2 linked regions of the Rhinolophus ferrumequinum genome follow. Each later gene encodes a partner of the first gene's protein in a complex. Links are inferred from orthologs where the notes say so. Each region holds a gene or a part of one and is shown on either strand. Other genes may lie near its edges.

Region 1 (6,161 bases):
AGGTGATACTGGAGAACAACTCTTGTGGTCAGAGCCAGACACCGGTATTCAGATGCTTTGTGGGACAGTGAACCGTTACAACGTACTTCCTGTTGGTGTTCATCAAAGGGGGTCTTCTTAGATGCCACAACTGCATTTACTCTATAATCTACCCTCATCACACTCGCCCGTCCAAGCAGATTTTAACATGACAGTAGTTCCTCAAGTGGGAAATACACAAAATAAGGGACAGAATAATTTTAGAGCTAGTTTTTCCCAAGAATGTTTAAGCAGTAGTCATGGAGTGCATGTCTTTTCTGCCCGTCGTCCACCCCACCACCTCCATTTTTGTGTTGGCAAATGTGTATTTTAAGGCAGATGCTGCGTGTATGAAGTGGTTTTCATTAAGTCAAGCAATACAGAAACACTGTGGCGGGGAACAGGATTGTTTAATACTGCCGAGGGAACATGCTGGCTCGGCTCCATATCTGGGCTGGGTGCTCACCCAGCAGAGGTGACAGCAGCCACAGCGACCATGCTTCATCAGAGTTCAGAAGCACCTTCTGTAGAGGAAGAAAGGCCCATGTTCTTCGTACTCAGAGCGAAGGACCCACAGGGGTTGGAAGCCCTGAAGTGATGCCAGGATGGAGCCTCCTGTCCACACTGCATTGTCTCTTCCGGGCAACACGTTTACCTGGGGGGTGTCATTGGGACACATGGTACTCAGCTCTTTCTGCAGACGGTTAGGGAAGCCGCGGAGCATAGTGCTGCCCCCGCAGAGCAGGATGTTCCCCATGAGGTCCCGTTTGAGGGCGATGTCACACTTGTTCAGGCAGGACACTGTCTGGGTGTGGAGGCCCAGCTGCATGGACTTGATCAGAGAAGGCTTGAAGAACATCTCTGAGCAGAGGAACCTTTCCTGGTACAGGTCTATCTCCTGCCCATCCGGCAGGGTGTACTGGAGTGCACGCTCAGTAGCCGGGTCTTTCTTCTCTTCGATGGGGTCCAGGGCCACGTAGCAGCATTTCTCCTTGATGCCCTCCACGATGGCCACCTGGTCCTTGGTGAAGTGTTTTCCTGCGTTGTTCATCAGGCCCATCAAGTAGGCTGTCAGATCAGAGCCTGCATAGTCCAGCCGTCCGGTGATGCTGGGCAGAGGATAACCCTCGTAGATGGGGACTACGTAGGACACACCGTGGCCGACCTCCACGACCATGCCGGACGTCCTTCCGTAGGAGTACATGGACAGGCGGGACTGGTAGGCAATGTGCATTGCAGGCGTGCTGAAGGTTTCAAACAGCATTTCAGCGTACTTCTCTCTGTTGGTGTGTGGGCTGAGGGGTGGGTCCGAAACCAAGACCGCATGCTCCTGTGGGGCGATCTTCATCTCCTGATGGAAGAGATATTCCCAGATATCCTGCACCGAATCCCAGTCCACGATGATGCCGTGTCGCAGAGGGTTCGTTAGCTTGAGACGCACCTGTGGATTGATGAGCTCCTGACCCACATATGTCTCTTTGCGGTTGTCCCCGGTTTTGGCGGTCTCCATGTAGGGCTTGCCCACTGTCGATGAGATCTTGTGGCTGGGCTTTGGCAGCCCAGCAAAGCCACATTTACAGTAGCCAGTGCCAAGGTCCACGACCACCGCTTTGGTCACGACTGCCTTGGGCTTCTTGACTGCGGTCGATTTGGTAGGTTCTTCCGACTCCGAATGGCGGACCCGCACTGCCCTCTTGGCTGGGCCCTCCTTCACGGAGGCAGTCTGGGTGACCTGTGTGTGTGGGGAGGCACTCTCTCTCTTGTCAGGCCCATCCCCTGTGATTGCTGCCTGTGCATCCCACACGCTATCAAGAGCCATCTTGCTTTCAGAAGGTTCCTTGATCCCACCGGCTTCAAGGTCCGAAAGGCTTAAAAATCAGGGCAACTTGAGAATTTCTCCAGTGATGACATCGCTGATTATGATGTAATGCAGTGACCTGGGCCTTTCTAGGTAGGGGAAACTGTCCTATGTTAGGGTAGATTTGGGGTCGTGTTTTTGAGGTGACTTACCTTTTTCTCAAACTTGATGTATCCAATCAGTATTTATTGAGTGCTTGGTATGTGCAAGGCAGCTGGGAATACAAGGCAACAGTGGAAAAAAAATTCTCTGCCCTTTTACAGTTTACATTTTAGTCAGTGGGGGTTGGGGAGAGAGACAATTTTTAATATATATGTATATGTATATATGTGAGTGTGTGTGTGTGTATATACATATACATATATATATGAAGATGTTAAGGGCAAAAGAGACAAAGCAGGGAAGGGGAATGGGGAGGGCGGCATGCTAATGTGCCTGGCAGGGCTCCCTGAGACAGTGACACTGATGGAGACCTAAAGGAGGTGAGGGAGAGTGCCATGTGTATATCACAGCAACAGACGTAGAGGACTGGAGAGGGACATGTGACTGATGAGTTAGAACAGGGTTAGCAAACTGTGGCCTGCAACCTGTTTTTGTAAATAAAATTTTATTGGGACACAGCCACGCTCATTTGTTTATGTATTATCTATGGCTGTGTTGGTTGAGTCATTGCAACAAAGACTCTGGCTTGCAAAGTTGAAAATACATATTGACTCCCTGGGCCTTTACGGAAAAAGTTTGCAGCCTCCAAGTTAGAGAGGATCCCAAGAAGAATGTGGCTGGTGTGGAGAGAGCAAGGACAAGGACATGAGATGGCAGAAGTAAGACGGCGGGTAGAGCATTGGGCCTCATGAGCCATTGCTAGAACTTTGGCTCTGACTGTGAGGTGGGAAAGCACTAGAGAATTTTGAGCAGAGATTTGACACCATCTGATTTAGATTTTAGCAGGACTAGTTGCTGCCATGGTTACTGCCAAGAACCTCTGTCTCACTTGTTCCTTCGGACAACCTGCAGAGGAATCTTTTTGGACACGTATTTGTACACATATTCCTCCTTCATCTAGGTCATGGTTCAGCAATGAAATTAGACCCTACAGAGTCCCACTGATGAGAACGTTTCAGGCCCTTAGGTACATAGCTCACTCAAAGATATCCAGCTAGCAGTGGCCAAGCTCTCCTGACTACAACTTCTTCCCGGGCATGTGCTGTGGACACACCTTGATGGGACTTGACGTGTGTCTCTGAGGCTGCTTGGCCACTGCCTCCCATGCCATCTCTGAAGCTGAGCATGTTGGTGCTGACACCTGTCACTCTCAAGGCACCCAGAATCCAGCCTTACGTTGTGCAGCCACGTGCTCTTCATAAAAGGCAGTGACTACCATGGTGGGCTTTCTCTAAGGAGCTTACTGAGGATGCTCTTGGCTCCTTGTAGGATGTGAGAGAAGAAAAGGACCAAGTCCAGTCTCTTGAGCTTTGTGACGACCTGACAGGGGCAGCCAAACTCATTTCAGAAATAAATCTCAGCTTCTTGGTTCAATGGGTGGAGGATGAGATAGCATAGAGTTTTGAAAGAACAGAAAAGTACTTTTTTCTATGCCTGGCTGCCGGCAAAATAGTTTACTTTACTTAATAGTTTACTTGCCTCTGTTTTTCAGGGGTTTGCATGGCCAACTTGGATTACTTGGCTTTATTTCAAAAGAACTTACATGATAAGACATATTTAACTTAGAATCATGTTTTCCTTCTCTTCAACCCCCCCTCTTAAATTCTCAGAAATCTGCAGCTGCTTAGTCCATGTTTTACTGCCTTGGATTGCTGTAAGAGCTTGTATTAGTTGTCTATTGCTGCTGTAACAAATTATCACAAGTTTAATGGCATTAAACACAAATGTATTATCTTACAATTCTGGAGGTCAGAAGTCCACAATCACTCTTAGTGGGCTAAAATCAAGGTGTCACGGCCTCAGTCCTTCTGGAGGCTCGAGGGGCTAGTCCTTTCCTTGCCTTTTTTTAGCTCCTAGAGGCTGCCTACATTGCGTGGCTTGTGGCCCCTTCCTTCATCTTCAGAGACCTCTCCTGCTTCTGTTTCCACATCTCTTTCTCTGACCTGACCCTCCTGTCTGCCTCTGATTAAGGTCCTGTGAGTTCTTTGAGTCTGCCGGATAATCCAGGGTAGTTAATCTCCCCATGTCAAACTCTTTAACTCACATCTGCAGAGTCCTTATTTTCCATGAAAGGTGACATATTCACAGGTTTCAGGCATTAAGATGTGGACATCTTTCACCTTGTCGCTTGACCTGTGCATCCCACTTGACTAAGACACTCAAAGCCTGGCGTGCTGTTTCATGTGCTCCTCCCCCACTGCCCATGCTCACCCATCCTTAACCCTTTCTGTCATCGTGGGTAGGAGAGGTGCTGTGCTTGCTTAAGGCCAGTCGCTCCATCTAGTCTGCCAGGTCCATGAGCGCGGGGACTCTCAGGGTCCACCCCGACATCCTTTGCGCTAAAGCCAATGGACACTTTTACTTCACGTCTCAGGGTATCGCAGGCTTGAATGCCCTTTGCCTTAGCTTCTGTGTTACCCGTTGTGTCCCTTCTCTCCTCTCTGGGTCATCACATGGTATCAGTGATGGAAGAATATAGAGACTGTTGGCACTCTGCACCCCAAACGTCCACTGCCTGGCACATGCGGCTGCACACACTGGTCATTAACCACCTAAGGTACATGTGGGCTCCCTGGAGTCTCTGGTGAGATCCCTCTAGTAGAAATACTCTATATTGCTCAGACTGCATTTCCTCACTGGATCACACTTTTGCTCCTCTGGCCCAAGACATCCTCCCGCCCCGCAAAAATGAGATGATCCTTCTCGAAAGCAACCCTGAGGCTCTCCTCTACTGGAGAAAAAAACATGGGAAGATTTGACCAAGAAACACTTTTCTTCCTGCAGTGGTATCCTTGCACCTGACTGGGTTTGGGGGATACCACCCACAGTTGACCTTTGGAAGAAAGGTGAACCAGGCCACTGTAATTTTAGCAGCTGTGGGAGAGAAGAATCTAGTAAGGCAAGGCCAAAATACAGTATTTCTTTTTTTGGATGCAGATTCCTGGATCCCACCCCAGTCTTACTGAATCTGAATATTTTGAGCCCAGGACTACTTAGGCCTAGGAATTCAACTCTTCAATATGTTGACATTTGAGAACCCAAGTCAGGAGCTCCCAGCAAAGAAGAGGATCCCTTACCAAACACACAGTGAGCCTCATTCCCAAAGCTCGGCCCCCAATGTGGTAACCCAAATATCAAGTCTGCCCATTTTCCTCAAGGTGGAAGGGGAAGGAGCCCTCTTCAGAAGGTGGAGATACTCTCCTGAGGACTCACATCTGGATCCAGATCATTTCTCTTCCTAAGCTCCATATACCACAGTCCAGTGGTCACTAAGCATCTTAAGTCAGCATGTTCCAACTGGAACTCATTCTCATCCCCTACATAACTGCTCCTGCCTCTGCGATCTCTATGTATGAGGGGTCCCGCCACCTACCTAGTTGCTGGAAACCTGGAGGAAGTGGATCGGATCAAGTTGATGAAGGGACGTAGCACTGTCATAATCACATTCAACGAATATTTTGAGTAGTTTGCCCAAGGTCATACATAGTATGGTAATGGAGCTAGATTTGAACTCAGGTCCGAGTCCAATGCCTTACTCTTCTTTCTATTCTGGACTGTCTTTCTGTAAGAAATGGAAGAAGTAGGCTCAGGGGTCCATGAGCATTGCCTGTAAATAAGCATAAGGATTGTCACATAGAAGAATTAGCTTGCTCTGCATAACCCCAAAAGTAGACCCAAGTCCAATTAATGGCTTCTCCAGAGAGGTACAGATGTCAGTCCGGTGTGAGGAAAAGTATATTGCTCAGCTGTCCATGCCAGAGCAAGTGTCCGATCCTCAGGCTCTGATTTGTGCTACCACCAATAGAGCTTGGTGGTGCTCGTAATTAATCCTTATAAAGTTGTCACCCGTGTAATCCAGTTTCATATTCTAAGAAACAATTCAGCAAACAAAAATTCTCACGAGTTCTTCATTAACATTCTTACGTGCTTGATAGATCATTTCTTAATTACATCTTAAAATCTCTCTCTTCTTTCCTCTCCATTATCTCCTCATCCCTCAATTACTTCTGTTCTTTGTAATTCTCCTAGAAGATGTCCTCAGCCTTAGTTGTTTCTCTTCCCCCTTTTCTCCTGTTTTTTTTTTTTTTTTTTTTTTTTACCACTGAAGCCCTAATCGGCTGTG
Region 2 (7,988 bases), on another chromosome or scaffold:
TCTGGGTAATTATCTGAAGAAACCCAAAATGCTACTTTGAGGGATGTGTGTATTCAAATGTTTATTGCAGCATTGTTTACAATAACCAAGATGTGGAGGCAGCTGGGGTGTCCATCGATGGATGAATGGATAAAGAGGAGGTTGTGCATACATACCATGCAATTTTGCTCAGCTAGGGAAGTGAATGGGTTCTTGCCATCTGTGGTGGCATGGGTGGGCCTGGAGGGTGCTGTGCTGAGTGGAGTATGTCAGACAGAGAAAGACAGATGCAAGGTGACTTTGCTTATATGTGAAATCTAAAGAACAAAATAAACAAATAAACAAAACAGAAACAAACACATAGATACAGAGAACATTTTGATGGTTTCCAGATGGGAAGAGGGTTGGTAATGTGTGAAAAAGGGGAAGGGATTAGAAAGTACAAACTGGTAGTTACAAAACAGTTATGGGGATGTAAAGTAAAGCACCAGGAATATGATCAATAATATGGTAATAACTATGTACAGTGCCAGGTGGGTACTAGTCAGGGAATCGCTCCTTAAATTACATAAATGTCTCATCACTATGCTCTACACCTGAAATTTATAGAAAATAATATTGAATGTCAACTGTAATTGAAAAATTAAAAAAGGGGAAAAGGAGAAGGGCAATGATAGATTCAAATTTCCAGGTATAAAACAAATAAGTCATGGGGAAGTAGTGTACAGCATGGGGCATATAGTCAATAATATTGTGATAGCGCGATACAGTGTCAGATGGTTGCTGGACTTATCATGGTCATCACTTCTTTAGGTATATAAATGTTGAATAACTATGATGTATACCTGAAATTAATATAATACTGCATGTTAGCTATAATTTAATAAAAATCTTTTTTAAAAAACACAGCATGCTTTTGGGAATTCCTAACTCTGTTCCCTTCTCGGGCTATTGAGCACTTGAAGTATGACTAGTGCGAGTGAAAAGCTGAATTTTAAATATTAATTAATGTCCAGTATTTAAATTAATTTAATTAATTAAAATTTAAATAACCACATGTGGTTCCTGGCTACCATATCAGAGAATGCTTCTCTAGCTTTTCACTTTCCACCGCCTCTTCTGCACCATCCTACTCCATTTTGATTTCCCTACATGCAGTTTCTTATTGTGGGACCCTCTCCTAGAAATGAGTCCAGGAGGGTCAGTTTTGAGATCTCCCACTGGTGAGATTGCTTTAGCCCCTTTAGTCATTCTTACTGTTTCAGTTGCTGTTAGAAAATTGGCCTGCAGTGTTTTAAAATGAATTATTAGAGAAAAACATCTTGAGTTCCGTCCATCAGACACCACTGTATTGTTTCCCTTCCTATCTCCACAAATTGTTTATATGTACATATCTTGTGGCTTTTGGTGGTTTGGCCTCACTGCTATGTTTTGGGGTTTAAGGAGATACCTGGTCACCTAGTTTTGTTGTAAAGGTTTTCCAAGGGTTTTTGATTTTGCTAATTAGTTGGTCTGTTTTTTGTTGTTTTTTAATGTGGGTTTGAGAGAGATTGAAAATTATGCAGCCCTCAACCCATATCCCTAAAATGCTTTGAATAATATATTTTAAAATGAGGTTTTACCATTAAGAAAAATGTCATGCTCATCATGGAATTTCTTTTTTAAAGGAAGGAAGGAATCCCTATGGACCCACTAGTCAAAGGCAAACCACTGCTAACATTTTAGCGTATTTTCATGTTCTTTTTACATGGTATTTTGTAGAGTGGTGAGCACAATGTATATACAATTCTATATTCTGTTTTGTTACCGTGTTTACTATTATAAAAATTCTCAAGTATTATTGTTCAGAACCTATCATAAATCTATCATATGGATCATCCATTATTTACTTAGCTAATCCCTAGTGTTTTGTCAATAAAAACTTTTTTTTTAATAGGTAATAGTTTGCTCTGAGATGTAAAACAATGTGTAATCCTATACAAGCTGCTAATGAACAATAATGGCTATATCAGTAGCACAGGAGTTCCTCTAACAGATGTTAATAAATGATTAACATCTCTAAAGAGGGCTCCTGGGACCACATTAATAATCAAGGAAACAGATGTAGTCATCTCTATCTTGAAAATTTACTTCATCTGGTGTAGAAAACTTTCCATTGGTGTTTCTTTTCCCTAGTGCTTATGTTTACCGTGTGTGTGTTTGTATGCACATGTATTTCTGTATATGTATGCGTGTGTGCCTGTGCATTTATAATCAATCATCTGTATCTCTAGCCCAGATCTTTCTTTTGACCACCAGACTCAGACCGAATTGCCCTTGCAAAATCAATACATGCAAAACTAAACCCATTATCTTTCTCAGTCTTCCTTCTCTTCTGTTTCTAACCTTAAGGACTGAGGGTCATCTACCATACCAGTCACCCAGAATAGGTTCCCAAGAGTCATTCCAGACTCCCTCCCTTCAAACCAATGTATTAATTCCAAGATTTTCTTTCTCTTTAATAACACTGATTATTCTTCTAACTCCCCATACCCATTGCTCTACCTTACTTTGGCCATCAAATTTCATGTGGGATATAGCTAGCATGCCTCCAGTTTACCAATCATTTCATTTTTGTTAAATCCAATGGGCATTTGACCCTTCTCTACAATTTGACATTGTTGATAATTACTTCTTGAATTTCCTCTCTTGGTTGCTGGGGCTCTACTCTGGCTGTTTTTTTTTTTTTTCCTTACCCTCTAACTAGCCTCATCTCCTTTCTGTGCTTTTCTTGCTCAGCTTTGCTCAGTTGTCCTAACCAATACTGTCTTATTTTGCAGTCTCCCATGCTGATGGTATTCCACTCATGGCTTTTACTCATTTAACTATGTACGGTGTTGACTCCTAAATCACTATTCCAGTTCAGGTTTCATCTGTAAGATTTATATATAGATACTTCAATATCCCAGCCTCAAACCCATGATATTCAAAACCCATGATATTCTTCATCCCCACTACCCCCTAAAGAAAGAAAAACTAAACAAAATCCTGCCCCTCATCCTTTATTTTCTCTTTTCCTGAAGCATCTAGATAGATGATCAAGTCAGAAACATGTGTGACATCTTCTACTCACTCCTGTGTCATCAACTACCAAGTATTATCACTTCTAACTCCTTAATATATAGCTAAACACTTTACCAGCTAAATAAGGACTCACAATCCAAGCCTCCTAACTTAGTACTTATCTACCTCAATTTTATTTTCTATATAATTGGCACTGTAATGAGTCCAGATAGAAATCACTGAATTTCAACTTCCATCCTTGGCAATGATACACATAAACAGTGATGCTGGGAGGGTTGGCAGGAAAAAAGGAAGGGCAGAATTTGATGTTTAAGAAAGAAGTTTCCAGATCTTTTTCTTACTGTCATCTCTGAAATCCCACCAAATAAGCCCAGAATTTATGTTACAACATTTGTTTGATGCCTTATTTAAACTGTTTTACTGGACATTTTCCATCTGTTAATCTCCATGAAAAAGACCAAATTGCCTTGTCACAAAACTCATGTTCATTGGAGCTTACACTTGGATAAACTTTGTAGAGGCCCAAAGTTTTAGGACGGTTTGGGAAAATGGGATGGGAAACTTTTACATCAATTGAGTGACAAGAAAAATTTGTGATCCATTTTTGTCATTCCATTTTTAGTTTATTAATAGGATGAGGAAAACATTCACATTATAAATCAATGTTCTGTTGAATAATGTTAACAAATAGCCAAGTAAGCAAAGGGTTGAAAGTGTTGGCTCAAATAAACTTTGGGTGTTTCTGTTACGAAATTTCCAGAGGCACAGAGGAGAGACATTTGGACCTAAATATCTACTTTATTTGGGACTTTTTGCATTTTCAAAGTAGATGCCAGATTAGGAAATCACCTGCCGTCCACTCATTATAATCTTTTGTCATAACAACAAACTGGAAAACAAAGGACTCTTTTCTCTTTTACTTAAATCAAAAAGCTGTTTTGACAGTCCCAAATTTGCTGGAGACTCATTTGCTTACAGACTCATGAACACTAGCTCTGCCCCAAGAGAGTAAGAAAGCGGGCAGGTTCTTGCCCCTCTGGTGTCCTCAGTTTCCTGCAAAATGAGAAAGCTAGACTCAATAATCCCTAAATGCCGTCCGGATCCACCCATCTGAGAGTATTCATTGCAGTCACTCCTGAATTAGGCCATGGAACGGATCCCGTGCAGTTGCTCCAGTGCTGCTCGTTAGTCCTATGAAACTGCTTCATCCCAGCAAGAGACACATGAGCAGCCTCACACCATCTCACGTAGCAGGGACAAAGAACAAGCCTCTACTTCCAAAGGAATGGCCCAACCTGTCTCCGAAGTGAATCACACCATCCTCATTTTTGAATAATCAAAGACTCAGAAAACATATGTAGGAATCTTCACTGAGATCAGGAGGTTCCTTGCCAGTGCTTGGGATTATGGGGAAAGCATTTGAGAAAAGTCCATACCCACAACTCAACAGTGAAATTAGGGTGCATTGGCCATCACAGTGATCCCTACGAATGTTCATAGTAGCTTCTCTTTCTCCTTGCCCTGAAAATAAACCAAGAAGCTAATGGCGGGATAAGTACTCCCCAGGACACATATCTAAGGTCCACAGGAAACACAGGTAGAAGCTGCCAGAATGGAAAGGGCTCTTCCTCATCTTCAGGGGCAGGCAAGCCGGGCCCCAGCTCTTCACAGGCTGGGGACTGACGCCCAGCGCCTCCGCGGGGCCCACGGTCGGTACTCGAGAGCTCTCGTTGGGGCCCCGCCCCTAACGCGGCCCCGCCCCTCACCTTGCCAGCGCCGCGCTCGGGCCGCCAAGGTGCGTGAGGCGCTCGGTGATTGGTGGCTGCCCGGCGCTGCCAGGCTGCCATTGGCTGTGTGGGCCTCTTTGTTCCCGGTCCCCGCCGCAGGCCGGCTGCCGCGGACTGGGCAGCGGAAGTTTCACTGCGCGGGACGGGTGGCTGCGGTAGCGGCGCCGGACAGCCATAGGTCCCCAAAGTACCCGCGGCGGAGCCGGAGGTCGGACCAGCCCGTGCGTGAGATCCCGGACCGGGGAAGGAACCTCTGACCCACCAACATGGACCTGGCGGTCAAAGTGAAGAAGGTAGGGGGCGCGGCTGGCGGCCGCCTCACCTGCGCGGGGCACCGCCCCCTGGCCGCCGGCGGTGGGTGGGGCGCGAGCCGGCTCCGGGGCGCCGGGTCCCGGGCCTGTACCCGCCCCCCGGGTGGAAGGGGTGCCGGGCGGCCCGGTTAACTCCTGAAAGGCGGGCGCGCGAGCCGGGGCGGGCGCAGGACTTTTCTCTCCGGTCTAACCGCTTCCGACGGTTAGAAGTGCCTGCCACTTCCCGTAGAACGTCTCGGCTGCGCCTGTGCCTCCCGAAGAGAAGTGCGTGAGGTTAGGGCGAGTGCGGGCGAGACCGTGCGCCGCTTCTTCCTGTCTCAGGAAGTTCGCTTTCAGCCTCTGCGATCCGGGAGCGGTGCTGTGACTTTGACAGCTCAGCCCTCCTCCCCGCCCTGCTCGCTGCTCGGCGCTCCTAAGGACAGTGCTGATTGAATGCACTCCGCGCTCCGCGCCTGGGAGAACGTGGGAGGTGATGATTTTTTTTTTTCTTTTTTGGTCATTCATTTCTTGATTTCCAAAGCACTGCCTCCCTCGTAGGAAGTTACTTCTCATAGAAAACGTTCTCCCTTGCTGGCAGCTCGCCCGAAACGGTGATTGTCACCAGTGCTTTTAGTGCCCGGTGACGTTTCCCGCGTGGCTGTCCCCGACGTCGGGACCCACCGCCCTACCTGAGACGCCCCCCCCCCCCGCCCCGCCGTATGGGAGCCTCAGGTCCCCTGCGAGGAAAGGGTGGGAACCAGACTGTGAGTCAAACGGAATGCTGGTATCACATTCCAGTGTAACGTTCTGTGGGAAATGTCTCATTCCAATGAATTGCTCATATTTACTTTTCGGTAAATTTAAGCTAGCTGTCTCTTATCAAATAGGGAAGGAAGTTTTGCAGAGAGAATAGAACCTAATTTTCTTTTTTGCCCATCATAGTTGCCAATATTGCTATTTCATCTTCTAAAGACAAAGCTCTTGATTTGAGCATTAATTCTGTTCATGCTCAGAACTGGAATTTTGAAAATGTACAAAAATGCAAAATATTAGGTTAGGAAGGCATTGAAAAATAAAAACTTAGAGTGGGAAAACAGTTTGTCGCTTATGACTAGAACCAGCTTTCAAAAAGGAACCCAAGGACCGGAAAGATAATGCAAAATTTAAGAGTAACGTGATTGCATTCTATTCTCTTCCATTTGGTTTCTTGTTTCATTTGCTTTTAAACGACACTAATATTTTTTGTTAATCTTGCTTGCCACTAAAAGCATTTTGGTTGCTGCTCAGCCTTCTGTTGATGAACAGTGTTTATTTTGTAACAGCTACTTAATTTAGTACTTGTCTAAAATTTGGGGGGTGGAAGTCTTGTCGTGCTTACAAATATTGATTCAAAAACTTTTAAAAGTTAACATCCTTTGGAGGGAGGGCTGAATAGGTGAAGCAGGGAATTTTTTTTAGGGCATTGAAACAATTCTCTATGATACTATAATGGTGGACACACGTCATTATATTATGTTTGTCAAAATCCATAGAATAAATAACACCAAGAGTGAACCCTAATAAGAACTATGGACTTTGGAGGATAATGATGTGTCGGTGTAGGTTTATCAGTTGTAACAAATAGACCACTGTGGTGTGGGATATAGACACTGGCGAAAGCTGAGTGGGTTGAAGATATATGGGAATTCTGCCCTCTGCTCAGTTTTGCTGTGAACTTAACCGTGCTCTGAAAAATAAAGTGTACTTAAAAAATAAATAAATAAATAAGTCAACATCCAAAAGTGATTTTGAAAGCATTGGAGACAAGGAAAAAGTAATTTAATGGAAGAAAGTCCAGTTAAGAATGACATGTGCTTGCAAGGGAAAAATCCAGACATTTATAAACAATTTTCTTAGTTTCAAAATGTAGATTATGATAAACAGTGCCCTTGATATGTAGTGTAAGTTTTTCTCCTCCATCTTCCCTTTACTTTAAAAGGTTATCTTTCAACTGAGAATCTTATCTTCCTCTGTAATCCTCCTCCTTTCCTTTCCCACCCCCATAAATTTAAAGCTTTTGCAGATAACTCCATGATGGTAATAAACCCAGTTACACTATCTTGTCATAGCTGGTAGTCAGGGCAGTCAACCAGTAAATTGGAAACTACTAGAAAACCCCAAAGATGTCCAGTGTGACTGCCAACCATGCCCTCTCTGTGCCTTCGTAGGACCCTAGACAGACCTGATGTTCTGTGGATTCCATACAAAGTTTCCCAGCACAGAGTTTAGAGGTCCCAGGAATACATTTCATAGTCTTAGCTGTAATCTAAAAAAAACAAAAAGAAATACACACCCCCAAAAACCCACCTTACCTTCCCTTTAGAACTTTAACTTACTAGAAGAAGAAAACATTACAAGATTATCTCTGACCTACTGGCAGAGCCTTCTCACCCTATTTTGGTACGTAGGTAGTTTTCAGGTGTCTCTTCTTTTTGACTTGGTTATACAAGAAAAGTAATCGTTTGAATGTAACTTTTTTAAAGGTAAATAAGCTTAAAAAGCTAAATAAAACTAAATTTGACTTCTGTCTTAAAATCTGTGGCATTGTTTCCTTCTAAAACCCTTATACTGTTTATTTCATAAGGAATTTTCCCCAGGCAGATGAAAAATGTCATTTATTTTTTTCCATTAACATTTTGTGTAAGGAGAATTAAAGTGGGTTGTCTTTATTCCACAACATCCTAGGTGGATGATCCTATTATGGGATTCTTGTTTTATAAAAGGAGAAGTTGGTGTCCACATCATTTGCACACATTTGGATTAATTACCAGTTAAAACCCACCGTCACAAAGACAAGGGATTTTATAATTAGATTTTGCTATATTTTGTT

Evidence for each region. The genes of interacting proteins can lie anywhere in the genome.
Region 2: the proteins of ACTL7A (region 1) and TES are in contact, whole or in part, in a crystal structure (PDB 2XQN), measured with the Homo sapiens proteins. The link is inferred for Rhinolophus ferrumequinum from reciprocal best matches to the Homo sapiens genes ACTL7A and TES. Residues at the interface, in NP_006678.1 of Homo sapiens: Leu28, Gln29, Thr30, Ala31, Ser32, Leu33, Arg34, Asp35, Gly36, Pro37, Ala38, Lys39, Arg40, Ala41, Val42, Trp43, Val44, Arg45, His46; in NP_056456.1 of Homo sapiens: Asn311, Glu312, Tyr313, Thr314, Gln315, Ala316, Glu317, Leu323, Phe326, Leu335, Ala336, Gly337, Glu338, Ile339, Tyr340, Val341, Tyr353, Pro370, Glu371, Val372, Gln373, Arg374, Val375, Thr376, Tyr377, Ala384, Phe389, Leu398, Ile399, Gly400.

What each region holds. Positions count from the first base shown.
Region 1 is NC_046295.1:61,958,712-61,964,872, reverse strand, and holds ACTL7A (actin-like protein 7A), read right to left. Parts: upstream 1,838-6,161; coding exon 530-1,837; downstream 1-529. UniProt on the Homo sapiens protein: Essential for normal spermatogenesis and male fertility. Required for normal sperm head morphology, acroplaxome formation, acrosome attachment, and acrosome granule stability.
Region 2 is NC_046309.1:26,658,318-26,666,305, reverse strand, and holds the start of TES (testin), read left to right. Parts: upstream 1-4,927; 5' UTR 4,928-5,095; coding exon 5,096-5,122; intron 5,123-5,230; exon of another isoform or gene 5,231-5,609; intron 5,610-7,988. UniProt on the Homo sapiens protein: Scaffold protein that may play a role in cell adhesion, cell spreading and in the reorganization of the actin cytoskeleton. Plays a role in the regulation of cell proliferation. May act as a tumor suppressor. Inhibits tumor cell growth.